Daphnia pulex: one gene and its partners. The main gene of each other region encodes a partner of the protein of the gene in region 3 in a complex. Links are inferred from orthologs where the notes say so. Each region holds a gene or a part of one and is shown on either strand. Other genes may lie near its edges.

Region 1 (3,752 bases), about 940 kb from region 3:
TTTAAACAGGTTTTAGCTTGTAATATTTCACCACTGTACGTCATCATCACTTCATTCATTGCCATCTATTTTGCTTCCTCATAAAGGTGAATATTACCATGCACAATTGTAAAGTAGAGCTAACATATGTAAAAGTAGATATATTTATTCTTGCTTTACCAAACAATTAGCAATCTCACTTTCTGCCAAATTTGATTCTAAGGATTTTGTAAAATATTTAGGAAAATTCATATTTTAATAGCAAATAAAACATATACTGTCCTGAGATAAAATTTAAAGTTTACAAAGGTTGAACAGGAATGCGACATTGGCCTATCTGTCACTAGCCCCCAACCGACTTCCTGACGTAAGATTACCTCGCAAGCTGCGATGTAGACACAGGTATTGAGCTACGGCAACAGTCGGCTTCGTAGGAGACCAATAGGGAGGGTTTTTGATGCGAGCTAGTGTTAACGCCAATGTTCACATACCGCTTTTAACTTAAATCAAGTGAAAACGACTTCCATATAACATTCACCAATTTTGATTTCCACTGAAAAATATGATATTTAAGTTGTAGAATTCTTGTAGAAAACGGAGCAAGCTGAATCTTCATGTTCGAATGTAATGAGAATAGTTCGAAATTTGTCAATAAGGTGAAGTAGGTCCGATCTTCGAACATTTTCCAAGTACATGATTTCCTCTAGATGGTGTTTCCCGCGGAAATATTTGCAAAGCCTGTGTTTTCTTCTATTAGATTATTCATGAAAAGATGTTTTTAAATAATAGTTTAGCTTACCGAGCAAAAAGTTCCAAGTCTTCTGAGTTGGCAGCGGCATCAACTTGAAGGACAGCCTCTCTTTCAGCATTACTCAGAGAGGCCGAAAGAATATTTTCGATTGACCACGGAGCTTTACTACTGATGCTCTTATGTGAAGGTGGACTGGACAAAGCCTCGTCACTAATAACAGAGGCCATGTCGCTATCGCTGGGCATTCGTGTAAGGCTGGATCCAGCATTCAATTCATCTGGAGTGGACTGGCGACTTGCAAACGTTACACGCGTCTAGGGGATAATTCAAACAATACTGTCTGATTTAACTACAGTAATCGTTATACTTTAAACACAAAAACTTACCGTTTTGGCACTACGAAATGAACCCTTGTTAAATGATCTCGGATGCATGTCATCAACGACAATATGTACATATGTGTGCAATTGTATGAGCAAATGATGTTGCAGCATCCAAATAATAATTTTAATTTCCTCTGATTCTTGCTCTGGAGTGGCGAGTGGATTCCTTCTCTGGCTCAATGATACAGGAACGGAAAATTCGGACATAATCTGAATTAAACAAGCACTATTGAACATTTCGGAGAAGACATCAGCAAGTTTGGATTGTGGGGAAGTGTTGGCACTGCCTGCAAGGACGTAAACATTGCTATCACAAAGAGGATATATAATGGTTGCGTGTCCAAAGTATAGCATGTGACCCACTAATTGAAAGACGTGTGATAGCGTCAAGTCAGCATCGGCTGCTAAAGTTTGTAAACTTTTTAGGGGATTCGCAAGATTTATGAGTCGTTTCAAAGCGGGGGACGAATCAAGAGGTAGATTATTGATGATTTTTTCTTTGTCCCCAAGCAGCAAAATGGCGTGGTATGGTCTCAATGCTTCCATGCAAGCATGAATGTCTGCTGGTTCAATAACAAGTCCAGGGTCAAGAAGGTGGTAGATTTTTTGAGGTAAACAGCAGCTGATCAGAATCCATCGATTGATGCGCAAATGTATCTTCCCAGAAATTTGTAAATCTTCGTAGACACGACGCAAGTCGCGCGCAAGCTGACTTCGTTGTAAAATTAAATGGTACGGCACATCTAGTGGATCATCGGGCAATTCCGAAGAAATGTCATCTTGAGTGGATGTCATGACCTTGGCTTCTTCACTCAAATATGCCACTCTACGCTCTTCATGCCAAAGTGCAGCTGCTATTCTCTTGCTTACTTCATGATAACAGTCAACTACTGCATGACTTGCAGATGCCTTAGAAGTGTAAAAAATATTGATGAAAATCATGCAAGTTTAAAATGGAATCTCTTTACCTTTAAGGCAAAAACTACATTGAAAGACAAAATTGATTCCTGGCTAGAGCCAGCAGATTTGCCTTCACCCTGGTGGTAAACAAGAAGTGGATGACCGACAAACCGAATGTCATTTATTTTTATTTCAAATTTTTTTCCACACAATTCTGATTTCACAGCAAACAAATTGGATAATACCTAAATAGTTGAAAAAATGTTTTAATAACCTTCAATGTTTCAAAACAGATTATATTAAGAGAGTATATTAACATACTTTGCTTGGAAAGCTGTGAACACTACCACTAATTGTACTGGAATATGCTGCACTTGTTTTTTGCATATCTTCAGCACTGATCTGGGGGTATGGAGTTTGCAGTTGCTCTATACAATACAACAGAGAAAAAACTTGGAGACTTGCGCTGGAAGTTATGGAGTTTCGTAAGGAACTTACTTGCGCGTGTACGTTTTGCAAAGTTTGGTGTAGCTTGAGTATCATAAGGATAGCGAAACAACAAACGATCACCTTTGCTACCGTTTTCGACTAAAGCCACGTTTGTTCCCATTAAATATTTTCTTTTGAAATAAGCTTTATCTGTAAATAATATATTTACCCAAAATTACCGCCAACGGATTGACATCCATGCTTCTTTTTCTATGAATTTTCTCGCTAACTTCAGGCGTTTAGAGGCAGAAACACCACGCAAGACGCAAACTGTCAATTTTTGAGATTTGCTTCAATTTTCGTCTGCATTCTTAAAAATCAAAAACAAAACAGTGCCATCTACGGTTTCTTCACAGATTCAACGTAAAAAAAATAAATAGCAAACAAATGATTTGAAAAGGAGAATCGCAAAAAATTTACCAAACAATAAACTGGTTTTTACTTAATGTATTTCAACTTCAATTAAATTATGTTTACAGATAGGAAATTCAACTATTTGTTGACAATTCATCTAGTCTCTTCTTAATGGCTACTGTATCCACTCCTTGGATATTGTGCTTCAAAGCCAATTCCAATTGTTTCTTCTCCAAACCATCAACTCTGTCATATAAACTTTTTCCAAGTTTATCATCAACATCATTTTCTTCTCTCAGGACACAAAACCACACTAGTATGGCAGTAACACTAGCTGAAATCACAAATGGCTCATACCATGGAGATTCACCAGTATTTCCTCCACCACTAAATGATTGTTGTGCTGACCATTTGGCAGCGTTTGAGTTGGAAAATGACAAAGGCATATCAGGATTTTCTGGTTGCTTAGTGGATCTACTGCAACAAGATTGCATAACAGTCCTAGAAAAAAATATACCATCATTATTTATTTGTCACATACTCATTTTCCATAATAAGGTCACACTCACACAGATGCACAAGTTAATATTTCAAAATTCATACCTCAGTTGTTCATTTTGGATTCCAATTTGTGTCCTTTTGAAATAAATAAGTCTATTGAAAGATCTAACAGCCAACATTTTTATAGTAGTAGTAGCCTAGTTACCCCATGGCCTACTCTATGGTTAAGGCCTGTTGTATCCACCATGGACTACTAAAGCTAGAGGACGGGACTCACGTCCTATCCCGCCGTGTTATAGCTTGTCGGGTGTATTTTTAATCATATTTTTTTAAGAAGGGTCAATCGATAGAGATTAAAAAAGCTATTCTAAGTCTCCAAAGCACCTTTCTTGTGA
Region 2 (3,732 bases), on a different chromosome or scaffold from region 3:
GGTTTTTTGTTTTTTTGGGTGGCGGCCAATGTGGCATAGCTACTACGCTGGTGGGAAGTTCAGTCCCATTTTTGTGTGGGGTGTGTGTGTGGGGGCTTCTATTTTCTTTATTGTTTGTTTTGTTTCTTTTTTCGTCTATTTTTCCCCCCGCCGTTTTAACAGCCGAAAAGATTGTCAACTAGCCGACAGATTTACTGGTGTACCTTCCAGCCCGCGCTCTCTATACGGCTGCTGGAAATATAACTCGCCCGCGTGAGTGCCCCCCACCTTGTCTAGCGCAAGGGGAAACGGTAAAAAAATAAATTCCACAGGCATTCTACTATATAACTCGCTCGACTTTCAAGACGGTGGGAAGCCAGCAATGACTCCTAACGAATCGCCAAACACGAAGGCGGGCGTTCCCGTTCATCTCTCGACACCGGGGCAGCACCACCATCCCAAGTGGCGTGATAACAACGGAGGATCGAGAGGACTTGGTGGGTTGTGTGTGTGTGCAATCAAGACGGATCCGATTGCAAACGATGGGGAAAGACGTGCAAGGTGATCCTCACCAACGACCGTTGAACTTGCTGCTCCTCCACAATCGAAAAGAAAAAAAAAGTGGCCATTATAAAATTTATTATTGAAACTTAAATCAAATGATACAAAAAGATATGGGGTCGGAGGGAACGGATTTCACTTCCACAGGACGCAGATGTCGACATCGGCTTCGATTTTGTCGTCCAGTTCGTGGTAGGACAGTCCGGTGCGGCAGCAGATCTCGTCGTAAGAGGCCACTCCAGTGCACAGCCGATGCAACGAGGTCATCTGTTTCTTGTGCGATCCGCGCTGCGTCTCCGGTTTGTACACCGGATACTAGCCCATTCAAACAGCGTGCAAATTGAGTTATCAGTTCAATGGGAAATGGGTTATTCGAGAACCGACGTCCAGGAAGAAATCGAAATAATCAATTGGATTAATCAACAGCGCACACTCGCTAACCTTGCAAATGCGGCGGATGATGCCCTGCAGGACGCCAAACTGGACTAGCCGATGTTCGTCGATGCGAAGCGCGTGCGGATTGAAGCGCAAGCACAGGTCTCTTATGGTAGTCCCGTACGTCATCCCACTGTCATCGATTACAAAATGAATTCATTTAGGGGGGATTTGATAAGAATTAGAGGATAAACTCACCAGTACATTTGGAAAACATCTCGGAAGGAAGGAGGATGTCTATCTGTAATATAAACGAGAGAAGAAATTCACAGTCAACTTGAAAAGTGGATAAGATGATAACAAGACACTTGGTATTCTTCTCTACCAGATTTGGCAACAAAAGCGATGCACTCTCGACTCAAATCTGAATTCATGGGCAGTTCTCGGAGTTTGGGTGTAGCGGCGTACATGTTGCTGTACTGGAAGATGGGAATGAGCTGGACGACGCCGTAATATCTAACCGAAAAGAGAAAATAAGGTCAAGAGAAGGACAGCACTTGACTACTATATCAATTGACTTACAAGAGATTTTGAATGCAGGCTTTGACCAAACCAATGTCCACGTCGGCCTCGATTGCCACTCTAGCGACATGGCTGCGTCCATCAATGTATGGCAGTACCTTACGCACGAAAAAGGGTTATTAAAATGAATAAAATAAGAGAATCATTTTCGTTTACCTGTTTGGTTGTTAGGTCCCAATAGTCTTGTTTTAAAGGAGAAAATTCTGACGTGAACACGGGAACGTGGTGGTCAAATACCAGGGGTGGCTCAGCAGCTACTTGGATCACTTTTAAGTGCAGTGTTGAGGTCCCAACTGATCAAATCAATTTGTAAATGTCGGAAACGGAAATGTTAGACAAAAAATGAGAATCTTCATGTACCTACCTGTAACTGTGCACAAGCCACCCCGATTGAGATCACTTAGAATTTGACCTAAAATTTTGGGCAACTTGGCCCTGTTGGATTCAGTGGATAAAAAATTCTGTTCAACTTCCAGGGTGACCAAATGCTCAGCTAATTTCCTAACTACAAGCTCATACTGCACTGTTCTGGCATCAGAGTCACACACAAAGCACAAGTTGAAAATGAGAAAGTTACGTGGGTATTTTTCATCTGAAATGCGCACTGGATATCCTGTAGGTTTTAGAAAAAAGGATGGTAATGAGTCAAAATACTTGGACTGTTAGAATTCTTGAATAAAAACCTGTTATCTTGTGCCCTAGTACATTCACTGTAATGATACAACTGTCCAGCTGCTCTTTAGGAATGATGTAAACACTAACTGCATCAAATATTTCTTTGGAAACATAATCCTCTGGCACCTTTTAATCGATATTAAGACAAAGCACTGAAACAACAAAATTACTTTATTTTACACACCACTACACCATTACCTGGTAACTGATTTTGGGCCCCAACGTAGGATGAAACTCGGAAAAAAATATTGCTTTGATCATTTTTCTATTTGATTTACTCGACTATATCACTTGGATAGTCAACCTATGAAAAAGGATTTCTTTAACATGAGTAATTCACATTAAAAATCAAAAAAATTAGTTAAAATGATAAGGAACACACAAAATCGCCCCTTTATTTGATTTAGGCTACCGTCTGAAGCGCCATGTGAGGTCTTGTTTACAGAAACGCCACCATTTCAAGCCATCACTTATTTACAGGGAAATTTTTCAAGTAACGAAGTTATAGTGATTTAGGTCCAAGGCACTTGAATTTGATTAGTTTGCAATATTCGCTGATTAATCGGACCTGGAAAAGTGTCTAAGAAATGACCATTTTCTGCCTCTCAGATTACACATAAACATAAACATCAACGTCAGCGCCGCGTAGCGACAATCTTATCGTCTTTCATCACAAACTGTTTGATTACGAGTTTACGACCGAAGTTGGGCTGGGGCGGGAGGGGCAGCACTAAAAATTTACGAAAACGAAAATTTGAATTTGAACTGTTTGATTACGACCGGAGATTGGGCTTGGCAGGGGCGGGACCAAGGGCCAAGTAGTCCAGTCATTTTAGCTGAAAAATATACGAGTATACCTAGAACAAATTTTAATTAGAAATTTTTCATGAACACTATTTCTAATTTTTTTTCTTTAATTACCAATGAAGGAGGACAAAAGCGACCATTTGGATCGTTTAAAAAAATGTAAATGAAAATTTGTAATTGGGAATTAGGGGTATAATTATAACGATTTATAAATGTTTAATACATGTAATCATAGTTTATCTATCAATAAACATGTGTTGCAAATTTGAATCAATTTGATTGACATTTACTATTTTTTCATGAATTTATTAGTTATACACATTGTTTTTTATTTAAGAAATTTTTTCGCCGTGTTTAACACGGCGCTTATGGCGGAATCCCAAAACTAAAAATTCATACTACATAAGAAAAAAAAACACCCGAAAATCCCCACTTAGTCTTATTTTGAAGCCCGTTTATCCTTCTTTACTTTTTTCAATTACATTTATCAAAAGTAACACAGCAAAAAAGTTATTGGAATAAGAAAAAAATACCCTTTTTCCAGTTTTACCAAATGATTTATAACACACCCACAAGGGGGACATTTTTTGTTGCCGCTGCAACTTTATCTCGACTAAAAAATGTCCCAGTGTCACTATCAGCTCTTGTTTGAGCTTCGTTTTTGTGGCCGAAGTGTCGATGAAGATGACAGCTTTCACTCCTCATGGCTATTGGCAGTCTCGTTGCAATTGCTACGATGCTTTGGTCAGTCAT
Region 3 (3,752 bases):
TCTACGGCTGACTCATTTAACATGTGACGAATCCGATCTCCTAAAACTAAAATTAGCGAAACGGCTGTTTGGACATCACCGTCTTCGGCCATGTGATAAACCATCTCTACAGCGTTAGAAACGCCACTCCAGCAGGTCGTGCCGAGACTACTGGACGATCCAGGTAAACACAAAAGAGCCGACGTCGTGTCTTCTACCTCTACCATCTGAGCTTCAATACGAGTTCCAGCAAAGCAGCGACTGGGAAAGTGTTCCGGAGGTGGAGACCGATCTTTGATTTCGTGACGAAGCTGAAAGGCTTCACTAGGTAAAATCCAATCCATCTGATTCGACTGTTGCTGTTGTTGCTGCTGCTGCTGGTCAGTATCTCCACTAATTTTCCTGCCTTGCACAGAGTCTGAAGTTCCATTAAAGTCATTTAACACATCGGCTTCGGCATCCCCGAAGAAAAAATCGCTCGTATTAAAGTGAGAACCGCTCGCAATATGTGACAGCATGACCTAATCAAATGATAGAATTTATTTTTTAAATGCAACGACTGTCACCCATATATCCTTTTACCTGAGAATCAATGTCTTCCACCTCGGATTCGGCTTCTTCGCTGACACCTCCAGAAGTGTCCGAGACTCCGCGTTCGTTACTGTTGGACGTTGGGGCGCTATTACTGTTATTAGATCCACTTCCATTTACCAAAGTCTCAGACTGTTGTGTTGCCTGCTGATTGGGAAATGAGACATTTCCGGACTGGTGTCTCGTGCTGGGTCGAGTTGAAGCGTCTTTGATACCGGAATCACCTGGCTCTGATTCTTCTTTGCTGACGGTTGTCGGTCGATTGGAACCGACTGACGTCACCGCGGAAGTTGAAGTCAATTCCAAACCGGAAAAGCCAAAAAGAAGTTTGACAACTCGCCATATCGTGGCGATTTGAATCCGACCAGCGTTTGATGCCACGACTGCATTATGATCACAAATTTCACCCAAAGATTTTCCCGTCGTTGTCTGCAGCCAGTAATGTCGTGCGCAATCCCGAAACACTTGCGCAGGTGTGGGTTTCTCGTTCTCAAAAACGTAAATAGAACACCGGACGGCCGGATAGTCTTCAGACTCAGACTTAGATTTTCTGGGTCTAACAAAACAGTTTAACAAATTAAATAGTCTATTTTAATGGAAAATATAATTTAAAAAAAAAACTCACAGTGTCAGAATTTTACTCTTTTTGGAGTTCTTATCAACTGCTGCCAATGTCAAACTTCCTTTAGAATTATAAGTGACACAAATGGGATTGGCCTTTTCCATTGGCCTTTCAGCATCAGCAATAACGTGTTGGATGAGATAAGAGTCCTAAGTAAATTTTGATTAAACAAATCAGATAAGATTTTAAAAAATTAATTCAACATTTTCATATAACAGACTTTGCTAGTTGAAAGTAGAACGTCCGGAGAACCTCTCCAAGCAATACCAGTTGTGATGTCTTTATGATCGTTAAAAGAAGCGTGCGGGATATAAGGCCGACGAACGTCCCACACGTGGATCACACTGTCGATAACAAGTGCACAGCTGGCGATATGATGCATCCTTTGAGGGCGCCATTTAATACGGCCCACTGAAGCCATTGTTGTTACCGTGTATTCCAACACTGGTCGGTAACCCAAATCCCAAACCTATTAATGGTATAATGCTGAATCATTCGTTCGTCATCTGGCTGAGGAAAAAAATTAAAATATAAACGCGTAAAATTTCCAAAAACAGACCTTGACGGCTTTGTCTCTACCGGCTGTGGCGAGCCACGATTTGTTTTCAGGATGCCAATCGCAAGCGAAAACGGGTCCACTGTGTGCTGTAAACTGTTTCTCAGATCGGTCTTGGCGCCGGAGATCCCACAACTGAACGGTTCCGTTCTCTGACACAGCGGCGAAACTAAAACACTGGTATGGATTAAACTGCACATCTCGTACACTCTCTGCGTTGCTAAAATTTCGAGAATGCATACAATGTTAGTTAAATAGATCCAAGTTTTAATAACATTTCAGTTTGTTTTACCTGACAAATGTCATGACTGCAGCTTTCATTCTGATATCAAAATACTTCATAGTCCCATCCTGACTTCCTGAAAGTAACATGTTCTGTTCTGAGCCATGAAAAGTCACCTACATTCTCCCCCAATAAAAGCATTTTCAAACAAAATGAGGCAACTAAAAATTTAAGATAATACCTTGTTAACTGTCCTTTTATGATCATTATAAACTGTTTCCTGTTTGAGCTTAATAGATTTCTGAATGTTCCATAAGACAACAGCTCCATTAGTGGCAGCAGTGGCCAGCCATTGCTCTACACAAATTTAGTTAAATAGACATGTTAAATCATGTAACTTAAAATCAGTGAAGAAGTTTACCATCAACTGGATTCCAAGAGGCATCATTGCAAGAAAAATTTAGATTGGAATTCTTTCCTGTTCGGATATTGTCTCTTTCAACAAAACCTGTGTCTTTGATTTCACAAACCTTGAAAACTAAAATTTAAAATATGAAAATGTGAGCAGAACTAAATTTTCGATGTTTTAATATTATTAGCATTACCATTTCTGCCGGTAACAACAACTTTATTGCAGTCTCGATTGAGGGCAAGAGTATTAATCGGGCCCTCTTGCATCAATGTCATGTGATGCATCGCAATGATCACAACAGCCCTAGGTTTTCCCTGGGCAGCTTAAATAAGTATCAACGGATTTTGAAACTAAAGGAAATGATAAAGTTGGGGACAATACTCGATAGGACAAAGGGTATAGAATTCAAAGGAAATGATTCACACCAAAACATCAACAAAGACAATAATCTCACAGTCGTCTGCTGATTCACACAGTTGCAACATTTTACCATAACCAAAGCAACGAATTTTCCCTTGCGACGTTGCGAATTGCAAATTTGCGATTCCAATTAAAAGCACAAAAGCAGAATGAGAAAAGTTTTTTGTGTTGAAAAGTCGGCAAACATAGAATAAAAAAACGAAATGTATTTTGTTCGATTGGGAACACAAAATGGTGGAAGATCTAGCACTTGTAGCTATAAAATGTGAGTTTCTTTTTCAAATAATCCATTGGCAAATATGCGATGGAAGCAAAATGAGTTAGTTAATTTTTTGGTAGCAGTGAACAAAGCTATTTGGGTTAGAATGTATAAAAATGAAAATATCTTTGGATTGAGTTGCCTCGTGCTGAGATTCAGCCAAATCCATCAATTGATGAATAGATGGTAGATGCCGCTCTTCTTGACTAGTGCCTTCTTTTTTTTAAACTTAGTTTCCCAGTCATTTTGGGATTCCTATAGACTGAATAATAATTTCCCGGTAGACACGTAATTCAACCTTATTCAACCTTGCAAACTCTCGATGATGCACTCGCAAACGTACTGGAACTGAATCTAGAAATAATAATTTTTATAACAACAAAATATGATAGTAAGCTTTAAACGGGAAGACATTATTTACTGAAGTTTGCAGCATCATAGGTCTCTGATCCCGCATCATCTTTATCAAATGGATAGGATTGATGGGGCAATCGGTTTCCATGAGCCGTAAAACAGAATCTAGCAGGATAAACGCTCCCGTACGTCCGATTCCGGCCGAACAGTGTACCAACACCACGTTCTCTTCTTCATTATTGCCAAGTTTCTGAATGTGACGGACGTATTCTAGAAATTGAGAAGCTAAAACGGGAGCCTAATAAAATAATTGATGTTATTAATAGTTATTAAATT

The links.
Region 1: GATOR complex protein WDR24-like (region 3) and GATOR complex protein NPRL3-like share a complex: the UniProt entries of both Drosophila melanogaster proteins name them as parts of the GATOR complex. The link is inferred for Daphnia pulex from reciprocal best matches to the Drosophila melanogaster genes Wdr24 and Nprl3.
Region 2: GATOR complex protein WDR24-like (region 3) and GATOR complex protein NPRL2-like share a complex: the UniProt entries of both Drosophila melanogaster proteins name them as parts of the GATOR complex. The link is inferred for Daphnia pulex from reciprocal best matches to the Drosophila melanogaster genes Wdr24 and Nprl2.

The regions. Positions count from the first base shown.
Region 1 is NC_060022.1:6,641,754-6,645,505, reverse strand, and holds GATOR complex protein NPRL3-like, read right to left. Parts: upstream 2,813-3,752; 5' UTR 2,703-2,812; coding exon 2,672-2,702; intron 2,602-2,671; coding exon 2,512-2,601; intron 2,442-2,511; coding exon 2,335-2,441; intron 2,259-2,334; coding exon 2,082-2,258; intron 2,023-2,081; coding exon 1,117-2,022; intron 1,045-1,116; coding exon 779-1,044; intron 718-778; coding exon 549-717; 3' UTR 126-548; downstream 1-125. Other genes in the region: uncharacterized protein LOC124195566, read right to left, coding at 2,991-3,357, 3,460-3,536. UniProt on the Drosophila melanogaster protein: An essential component of the GATOR subcomplex GATOR1 which functions as an inhibitor of the amino acid-sensing branch of the TORC1 signaling pathway.
Region 2 is NC_060028.1:1,956,892-1,960,623, forward strand, and holds GATOR complex protein NPRL2-like, read right to left. Parts: upstream 2,821-3,732; 5' UTR 2,555-2,820; exon of another isoform or gene 2,477-2,554; 5' UTR 2,434-2,476; coding exon 2,371-2,433; intron 2,299-2,370; coding exon 2,181-2,298; intron 2,111-2,180; coding exon 1,862-2,110; intron 1,791-1,861; coding exon 1,654-1,790; intron 1,596-1,653; coding exon 1,498-1,595; intron 1,432-1,497; coding exon 1,301-1,431; intron 1,217-1,300; coding exon 1,174-1,216; intron 1,109-1,173; coding exon 982-1,108; intron 856-981; coding exon 676-855; 3' UTR 602-675; downstream 1-601. UniProt on the Drosophila melanogaster protein: An essential component of the GATOR subcomplex GATOR1 which functions as an inhibitor of the amino acid-sensing branch of the TORC1 signaling pathway.
Region 3 is NC_060022.1:5,701,245-5,704,996, forward strand, and holds the start of GATOR complex protein WDR24-like, read right to left. Parts: upstream 2,864-3,752; 5' UTR 2,668-2,863; coding exon 2,577-2,667; intron 2,510-2,576; coding exon 2,393-2,509; intron 2,329-2,392; coding exon 2,213-2,328; intron 2,148-2,212; coding exon 2,041-2,147; intron 1,969-2,040; coding exon 1,752-1,968; intron 1,662-1,751; coding exon 1,413-1,661; intron 1,342-1,412; coding exon 1,196-1,341; intron 1,127-1,195; coding exon 562-1,126; intron 501-561; coding exon 1-500. Other genes in the region: tyrosine-protein phosphatase non-receptor type 4-like, read right to left, coding at 3,366-3,416, 3,484-3,714. UniProt on the Drosophila melanogaster protein: An essential component of the GATOR subcomplex GATOR2 which functions as an activator of the amino acid-sensing branch of the mTORC1 signaling pathway.